Saccharomyces cerevisiae S288C: one gene and its partner. The gene in region 2 interacts genetically with the main gene of each other region. Each region holds a gene or a part of one and is shown on either strand. Other genes may lie near its edges.

Evidence for each region. A genetic interaction does not mean that the proteins touch.
Region 1: mutations in HOM3 (region 2) and BAS1 together harm fitness more than expected from each alone (negative genetic interaction), as found in Saccharomyces cerevisiae (3 studies listed by BioGRID).

Annotation. Positions count from the first base shown.
Region 1 is NC_001143.9:634,136-638,786, forward strand, and holds BAS1 (Bas1p), read left to right. Parts: upstream 1-1,715; coding exon 1,716-4,151; downstream 4,152-4,651. Other genes in the region: ubiquitin-specific protease UBP11, read right to left, coding at 1-1,044. UniProt on the Saccharomyces cerevisiae protein: Activates HIS4 transcription only in combination with PHO2/BAS2. BAS1 is also involved in the regulation of the purine biosynthesis pathway.
Region 2 is NC_001137.3:255,864-259,608, reverse strand, and holds HOM3 (aspartate kinase), read left to right. Parts: upstream 1-1,650; coding exon 1,651-3,234; downstream 3,235-3,745. Other genes in the region: PIC2 (Cu/Pi carrier), read left to right, coding at 1-872; JHD1 ([Histone H3]-lysine-36 demethylase), read right to left, coding at 3,475-3,745. UniProt on the Saccharomyces cerevisiae protein: Phosphorylates aspartate, the first step in the biosynthesis of amino acids that derive from aspartate (the aspartate family of amino acids), including methioinine and threonine, the latter of which is a precursor to isoleucine.

The DNA.
Region 1 (4,651 bases), on a different chromosome or scaffold from region 2:
GCGGGAAAGTTGGACTTCTTTCGGATATTTGTTAGTATTGAGGAATAGCCTATATTTCTTGGTTAAAAACAAATCCCGAAATAAGGTAGTGCCAAACAGACATTGAATTATACTGTTAATATAGCATGTATTGCATGGATTTTGCAGGCCAGTAATAGATAACTCTGATAACAGATCATTAGAATCTTCAATTACTGGTAGATTGTAAGCTTTCGGGGCCGAAGATTCTATGGCCTCGATCTTTCCTTCTTCCTCCTTTGGCTTTTCCACCTTGGATAAAGAGGATGAAGAATCTTGGCTAGAATCTCTGATTTGTGACGAAACCTCCAAGGAGTGCACGGGGGGAGCAGTTGCTGGACTAGACAGCGTTTTGAATAATGCATCCTTTCCAGTACTGAGTTTTAAATACGAGGGTTTTGATAATGCTTCTTTGCTTGTGTAGTACGCCACTTCAGAACCAGCTTCCAATTTATTACTTGATGCTATCTGATTACTTTCCCTGACTATGTCCTCTTTCGAATTATCATTTGTTGGTTTTGTTAGCTCATTCGGTATTTCATGTAGTGAGCCATCAAACTTGTTATGTATTGACAAAGAGGCCATATGAACAGGTAAAGGCCGTAGCGGTAAGGAGTAGGCTCTTTTTCTTTTTATGGTCCTGCAAATTCCGTTTGACTCCGCTAAATACCGGTCAACAATAACAGTACTTTCATCTCTTACCACTTTTAACACATAACCCATCACGTGTTCGTCTTGATAGTCGTTTTTTAGCTTTGCGTAACTGCTGTAGAGATTATTTCTTGTTTGGAATTGTAACGATTGTGGAATAATAAGGTACAGATAATAACAACCAATAATAAATGCTGTCAAAGCTTCCATTTCCTGATTGATTTCTAAATCCCTCAGGTAAACATTAAACAGATGAGCAGCATGGTCTAACAATCCTCTTAAGTTCTTTAGCCGTAATTGCGAATAAAACTGTTTAATATCTACTTCATATACTTTTCGAACTAGGTTTAGAATTTGATCTGGGTTTAATAACATTGTCTTTATGACTTCCGATTTAGCGAAAAGAAAACGGAAAGTAAGATCAATGCCACGGTTATTTAGTTTACTGAAGATCCTGAAAGACTACTAGCAGTAGCAGTAACCTTTCAGAGCTTATAATCAACCTAATGATTACTCAGCGCACAATCTAAAAGGGTTTCTCAACTAATTCTCGAAGAAATGTCAATCCCTTTTTTAAGCACTCCGGAAAAACTTTATAATAGATGTGGGGAAATCACCTTTGACGATGTGCAACGGAGAAACTATTTTTTTTTTTCTTTTTTTCTTTTTTTTTTTTTTTTTGGTCCGAACAATGCGATGAGCCAGACGAAGAAAAAAATAAAAAATGAGAATGAGTAATTATGTTAAGACCTTTAGAAGAAATAGGGTCCAGTCACAGAATAAAGCCCCAGGAAACTTTAAAGCAATCGAAATTAACCAGCTATATTTATATAATAAGAAATTTTTCTTATTAGTTTACTATAAAGGACTAGTGTACGTTTTTTGTGTTTAATTATTTGCTTTCTGATAATCCGGTTTGCTGATTTGAATCGTTCTCTGCAACAATTGTTGATCTCTAGTGGGGTAAACAAAATTAGTTTTGTTTAAAACTTTTGTTGTAGCGTTTTTGCTCTTTTTTTTTTATCGCAGAATACATTTTATCGAGAATGTCGAATATAAGTACCAAAGATATACGAAAAAGTAAGCCAAAAAGAGGATCCGGCTTCGATTTACTTGAAGTGACTGAATCACTTGGCTATCAGACACACAGGAAAAATGGAAGAAATTCATGGTCAAAGGACGACGATAATATGCTACGATCGCTAGTAAACGAATCCGCAAAGGAGTTAGGCTATGAGAATGGACTTGAAGACGTAAAAACAATTCAACAATCCAACCATCTTTCTAAATGTATTGCTTGGGATGTTTTAGCTACACGATTCAAACACACCGTAAGAACTTCAAAGGATGTAAGAAAGCGTTGGACAGGATCTCTGGACCCAAACTTGAAGAAAGGTAAATGGACACAAGAAGAGGATGAGCAGCTCTTGAAAGCTTATGAAGAACATGGGCCTCACTGGCTGAGTATCTCCATGGATATCCCTGGAAGAACAGAGGATCAATGTGCGAAAAGGTACATTGAAGTGTTGGGACCTGGAAGTAAAGGTAGATTAAGAGAATGGACGCTCGAGGAAGATTTAAATCTGATAAGTAAAGTGAAGGCATACGGCACGAAATGGAGAAAGATTTCGTCGGAAATGGAATTCAGACCAAGTTTAACGTGCAGGAACAGATGGCGGAAAATTATTACTATGGTTGTGCGAGGACAAGCATCAGAAGTAATAACAAAGGCTATAAAAGAAAACAAGAACATAGACATGACAGACGGAAAACTCCGACAACATCCAATCGCCGATTCTGATATACGCTCAGATTCTACACCGAATAAAGAAGAACAGTTGCAGCTATCTCAACAGAACAACCCTTCATTGATAAAGCAGGATATATTGAATGTTAAAGAGAACGAATCGAGCAAACTACCAAGATTAAAGGATAATGATGGACCCATTTTAAATGACAGCAAGCCACAAGCATTACCTCCCTTAAAAGAGATATCTGCACCTCCACCAATCAGGATGACGCAAGTCGGTCAGACTCATACCAGTGGTAGCATTAGGAGCAAAGTATCTTTACCAATTGAAGGTCTTTCTCAAATGAACAAGCAAAGTCCTGGAGGAATCTCAGATAGCCCACAGACAAGCCTTCCCCCAGCATTCAATCCAGCATCTCTCGATGAGCATATGATGAATAGTAATAGTATTTCAGATTCTCCGAAGCATGCTTATTCTACTGTGAAAACTAGAGAACCAAATTCCTCTAGCACACAATGGAAATTTACATTAAAAGATGGTCAAGGTTTGTCAATTTCTAACGGAACTATTGACAGCACAAAATTAGTAAAAGAATTGGTTGACCAAGCTAAGAAGTACTCTTTAAAAATTTCGATACATCAACATATTCACAATCATTATGTTACATCCACAGACCATCCTGTCAGCAGCAATACTGGATTGTCAAATATAGGAAATATAAATGGAAACCCTCTATTAATGGATAGTTTCCCACATATGGGTAGACAACTGGGAAATGGTCTTCCAGGGTTAAATTCAAATAGTGACACTTTTAACCCAGAATATAGGACTTCTCTGGACAACATGGATAGCGATTTTTTATCAAGAACACCCAACTATAACGCATTCAGCTTGGAAGCAACTTCACACAATCCCGCTGACAATGCAAATGAACTTGGTTCACAAAGCAATAGAGAAACAAACAGCCCGTCTGTATTTTATCCTCAAGCAAATACATTGATCCCAACTAATTCTACCGCTACAAATAATGAAATCATTCAAGGAAACGTTAGTGCTAATAGTATGTCACCGAATTTCAATGGAACAAATGGCAAGGCACCAAGTTCGACGGCATCATATACAACGAGCGGTTCAGAAATGCCACCTGATGTAGGTCCTAATAGAATAGCGCATTTCAACTATTTGCCACCAACTATACGGCCTCATTTAGGCTCATCAGATGCGACAAGAGGTGCTGACTTGAATAAGTTACTCAATCCATCTCCAAATTCAGTAAGAAGTAACGGCAGTAAAACTAAGAAAAAAGAAAAAAGAAAAAGTGAATCATCTCAGCATCATTCTTCATCATCTGTGACAACCAATAAATTCAATCACATTGATCAGTCGGAGATATCAAGGACTACATCCAGATCTGATACTCCATTGAGAGATGAAGACGGCCTGGATTTTTGGGAAACGTTAAGATCCTTGGCTACTACGAATCCAAATCCTCCAGTTGAAAAGTCAGCTGAAAATGATGGTGCCAAGCCTCAAGTGGTACATCAAGGGATTGGCTCACATACAGAAGATAGCAGCCTAGGTTCCCATAGCGGAGGATACGATTTTTTTAACGAACTGTTGGATAAAAAGGCAGATACACTGCATAATGAGGCTAAGAAGACGAGCGAGCATGATATGACGTCAGGAGGTTCTACCGATAATGGGTCAGTCCTGCCACTGAATCCTAGTTGAGAAGGCAAGGCCGAAAAAAAACACAAATCTTTCAATTGTTTAACATATTAGTTTTGTAATAAGCATAAGTGTATATTATACATAGCACAAGATGGATAATATTCTCTGAAAAAAACGTGTAGTTTCATGACTCGCATTTTTTTTTTTTTTTCTTTCATGTTGATTAACATACTTGAATTCTGTATTTAAGCTGTATAAAAAGTTGTTCTATTTCATATACGGCGATTTTGCATAATTAAGAACTTTGCCTTGTACACTATTTTACTAGGGTATTCTTCCAAGATTTCTCTTCTTATTTTTTCCCTTTATAAGTCATTGTAGCAACATAATTTCCTGGAAATTTTAAGGGAATATATTTCTTTCCGCCCACAAACACAAAGGGCGTTTAGTAAATTATGCGGCGATGTATAAAAGAGAAAGCAGGCAAAAAGAAAATGAAAAATGAGACTATGAACTTTAAGAATTATGTCTTGACTAATTTTTTAAAACCCATCATCCAT
Region 2 (3,745 bases):
AATTATATACGAAAGAGTTTTATGCCACATGTACCTTAGGTGGTATAATTGCGTGCGGTCCAACACATTCTTCGATCACTCCACTAGATCTTGTCAAATGTAGGCTACAGGTCAATCCCAAGTTGTATACTTCAAACTTACAAGGGTTCCGTAAGATTATAGCTAATGAAGGCTGGAAGAAAGTATACACTGGGTTTGGTGCTACATTCGTCGGATATTCGCTACAAGGTGCAGGTAAGTATGGTGGTTATGAGTATTTCAAGCATTTGTATTCTAGTTGGTTAAGTCCTGGTGTCACTGTGTACTTGATGGCCTCAGCGACCGCTGAATTCCTCGCTGATATCATGTTGTGCCCATTTGAAGCTATTAAAGTGAAACAGCAGACTACTATGCCGCCCTTTTGCAATAACGTTGTTGATGGATGGAAAAAAATGTATGCAGAAAGTGGAGGTATGAAAGCATTTTATAAAGGTATTGTTCCCCTATGGTGCAGACAGATTCCTTACACAATGTGTAAGTTTACCTCATTCGAAAAAATTGTTCAAAAAATATACAGTGTTTTACCTAAAAAGAAAGAAGAAATGAACGCATTACAGCAAATATCAGTCAGTTTTGTAGGTGGTTATCTGGCAGGTATATTATGTGCTGCAGTCTCACATCCTGCAGACGTTATGGTTTCCAAGATCAATAGCGAAAGAAAGGCCAACGAGTCCATGTCTGTAGCCTCTAAAAGAATATATCAAAAAATTGGCTTTACTGGGTTGTGGAATGGGTTAATGGTGAGAATTGTCATGATCGGTACTTTGACAAGTTTCCAATGGCTAATTTACGATTCGTTCAAGGCTTATGTAGGCTTACCAACCACCGGTTAGCTGATCGATTCAATCGGCAAGGTTTATCGTAAACACTCTGTGCTAGAGGAATATTGTATACACAGGATTTCATAAAGTTAGTAAATGACCGGCATTTATAGTTTGTTCTTCTTTGCATATGTCTTAATAAATATTCGTCCTACAATTTCTTTTCATACTAAGAGTTTTGTTATGATTGCCAAATTTCTCAAGCCAAGAACAGGCCCAGGAAAACTTTGAAAGTGCCATATCAGAAACACATTTATAAGGTAGTTTCGATATACGGCAATACTCGATGCATGCCCAAACTTGCCAGCCGCTCGCGATTGAATCTTCTACAATTTTTAGGTGAACATATTCAGAGGCTGAGGCCTTATTTGATAGTAACATCAAATATCACTCCCACAATTTACAATCACTGTCATTGGTCTCACAGGATCCTTTTCTTTCTAGAACTCCCCTAATATCAACTTTTTACTCTACTGTGGCTCTAACCACGTGTATTTTTCAGGCCCATGACTCACCTTTTCTTTCTTTTTCACTAGCAAACGAAAATTTCATCATCACTTTTTTTTTTTTTCACTTTCCGTACGCAGTCTTCTCCAGAGATTCTTTTAGCTTCGAAGAAATAATGTATAATATCCATATATAAGAATACTGCTGGATAATTATTTTATTTCTATTTTAACAGTGCTCTACTCATTGAAGGATATTTGTGTAGCCAATACTCTCTCCATCGCTTAAGCTCACATAGCTATCGCATTTTATCACAGAAGCTTTCATTTTTTTTAACTTTTACATGCCAATGGATTTCCAACCTACATCAAGTCATTCGAACTGGGTCGTGCAAAAGTTCGGTGGTACATCTGTCGGTAAATTTCCCGTCCAAATAGTGGATGACATTGTGAAGCACTATTCTAAACCTGACGGCCCAAACAATAATGTCGCTGTCGTTTGTTCCGCCCGTTCTTCATACACCAAGGCTGAAGGTACCACTTCTCGTCTTTTGAAATGTTGTGATTTGGCTTCGCAAGAATCTGAATTTCAAGACATTATCGAAGTTATCAGACAAGACCATATCGATAATGCCGACCGCTTCATTCTCAATCCTGCCTTGCAAGCCAAGTTAGTGGATGATACCAATAAAGAACTTGAACTGGTCAAGAAATATTTAAATGCTTCAAAAGTTTTGGGTGAAGTGAGTTCACGTACAGTAGATCTGGTGATGTCATGTGGTGAGAAGTTGAGTTGTTTGTTCATGACTGCTTTATGTAATGACCGTGGCTGTAAGGCCAAATATGTGGATTTGAGCCACATTGTTCCCTCTGATTTCAGTGCCAGCGCTTTGGATAACAGTTTCTACACTTTCCTGGTTCAAGCATTGAAAGAAAAATTGGCCCCCTTTGTAAGTGCTAAAGAGCGTATCGTTCCAGTCTTTACAGGGTTTTTTGGTTTAGTTCCAACTGGTCTTCTGAATGGTGTTGGTCGTGGCTATACCGATTTATGTGCCGCTTTGATAGCAGTTGCTGTAAATGCTGATGAACTACAAGTTTGGAAGGAAGTTGATGGTATATTTACTGCTGATCCTCGTAAGGTTCCTGAAGCACGTTTGCTAGACAGTGTTACTCCAGAAGAAGCTTCTGAATTAACATATTATGGTTCCGAAGTTATACATCCTTTTACGATGGAACAAGTTATTAGGGCTAAGATTCCTATTAGAATCAAGAATGTTCAAAATCCATTAGGTAACGGTACCATTATCTACCCAGATAATGTAGCAAAGAAGGGTGAATCTACTCCACCACATCCTCCTGAGAACTTATCCTCATCTTTCTATGAAAAGAGAAAGAGAGGTGCCACTGCTATCACCACCAAAAATGACATTTTCGTCATCAACATTCATTCCAATAAGAAAACCCTATCCCATGGTTTCCTAGCTCAAATATTTACCATCCTGGATAAGTACAAGTTAGTCGTAGATTTAATATCTACTTCTGAAGTTCATGTTTCGATGGCTTTGCCCATTCCAGATGCAGACTCATTAAAATCTCTGAGACAAGCTGAGGAAAAATTGAGAATTTTAGGTTCTGTTGATATCACAAAGAAGTTGTCTATTGTTTCATTAGTTGGTAAACATATGAAACAATACATCGGCATTGCTGGTACCATGTTTACTACTCTTGCTGAAGAAGGCATCAACATTGAAATGATTTCTCAAGGGGCAAATGAAATAAACATATCCTGCGTTATCAATGAATCTGACTCCATAAAAGCGCTACAATGTATTCATGCCAAGTTACTAAGTGAGCGGACAAATACTTCAAACCAATTTGAACATGCCATTGATGAACGTTTAGAACAATTGAAAAGACTTGGAATTTAAATCCACCTTTCTTCTTCACTTTAATGATAGAATATTAATTTTCCCTTTATATATATATATATATATATATACGCGCACATATATTTACATATATATTAATGTTTTGTAACCTATATTGGGGCGATTATTCCCTAAATGTAATGTCAGGGTTATACTGTATCAATTGCTAAAGTAGATCTCATTCATCGAGAGCATAGGATGAAATAAAAGATACAAGAACGTGGCGGACAAGAAGAAATTTTACGAAATAAGATCGGCTAAAGCTTTCGCTAAATGCTTCTTTGAAGTGAAATTTAACGGCTTGTACTTAACTTCAGGTTTTATAACGTATGCATGAAGTGATTGAATTGCGCAATTAGTGGTCCTGGAAAGCAAATCCCCATCACTGACATCACTAGTGATTTTATTTTTATCAAGCGCAAGATACTCGCATAATTTACCCATCACTTGATCAAACTTCGGGAAGGTAAATCTTCTAGGAACCTTTGTTAACTTTTCAATTTCCACAATT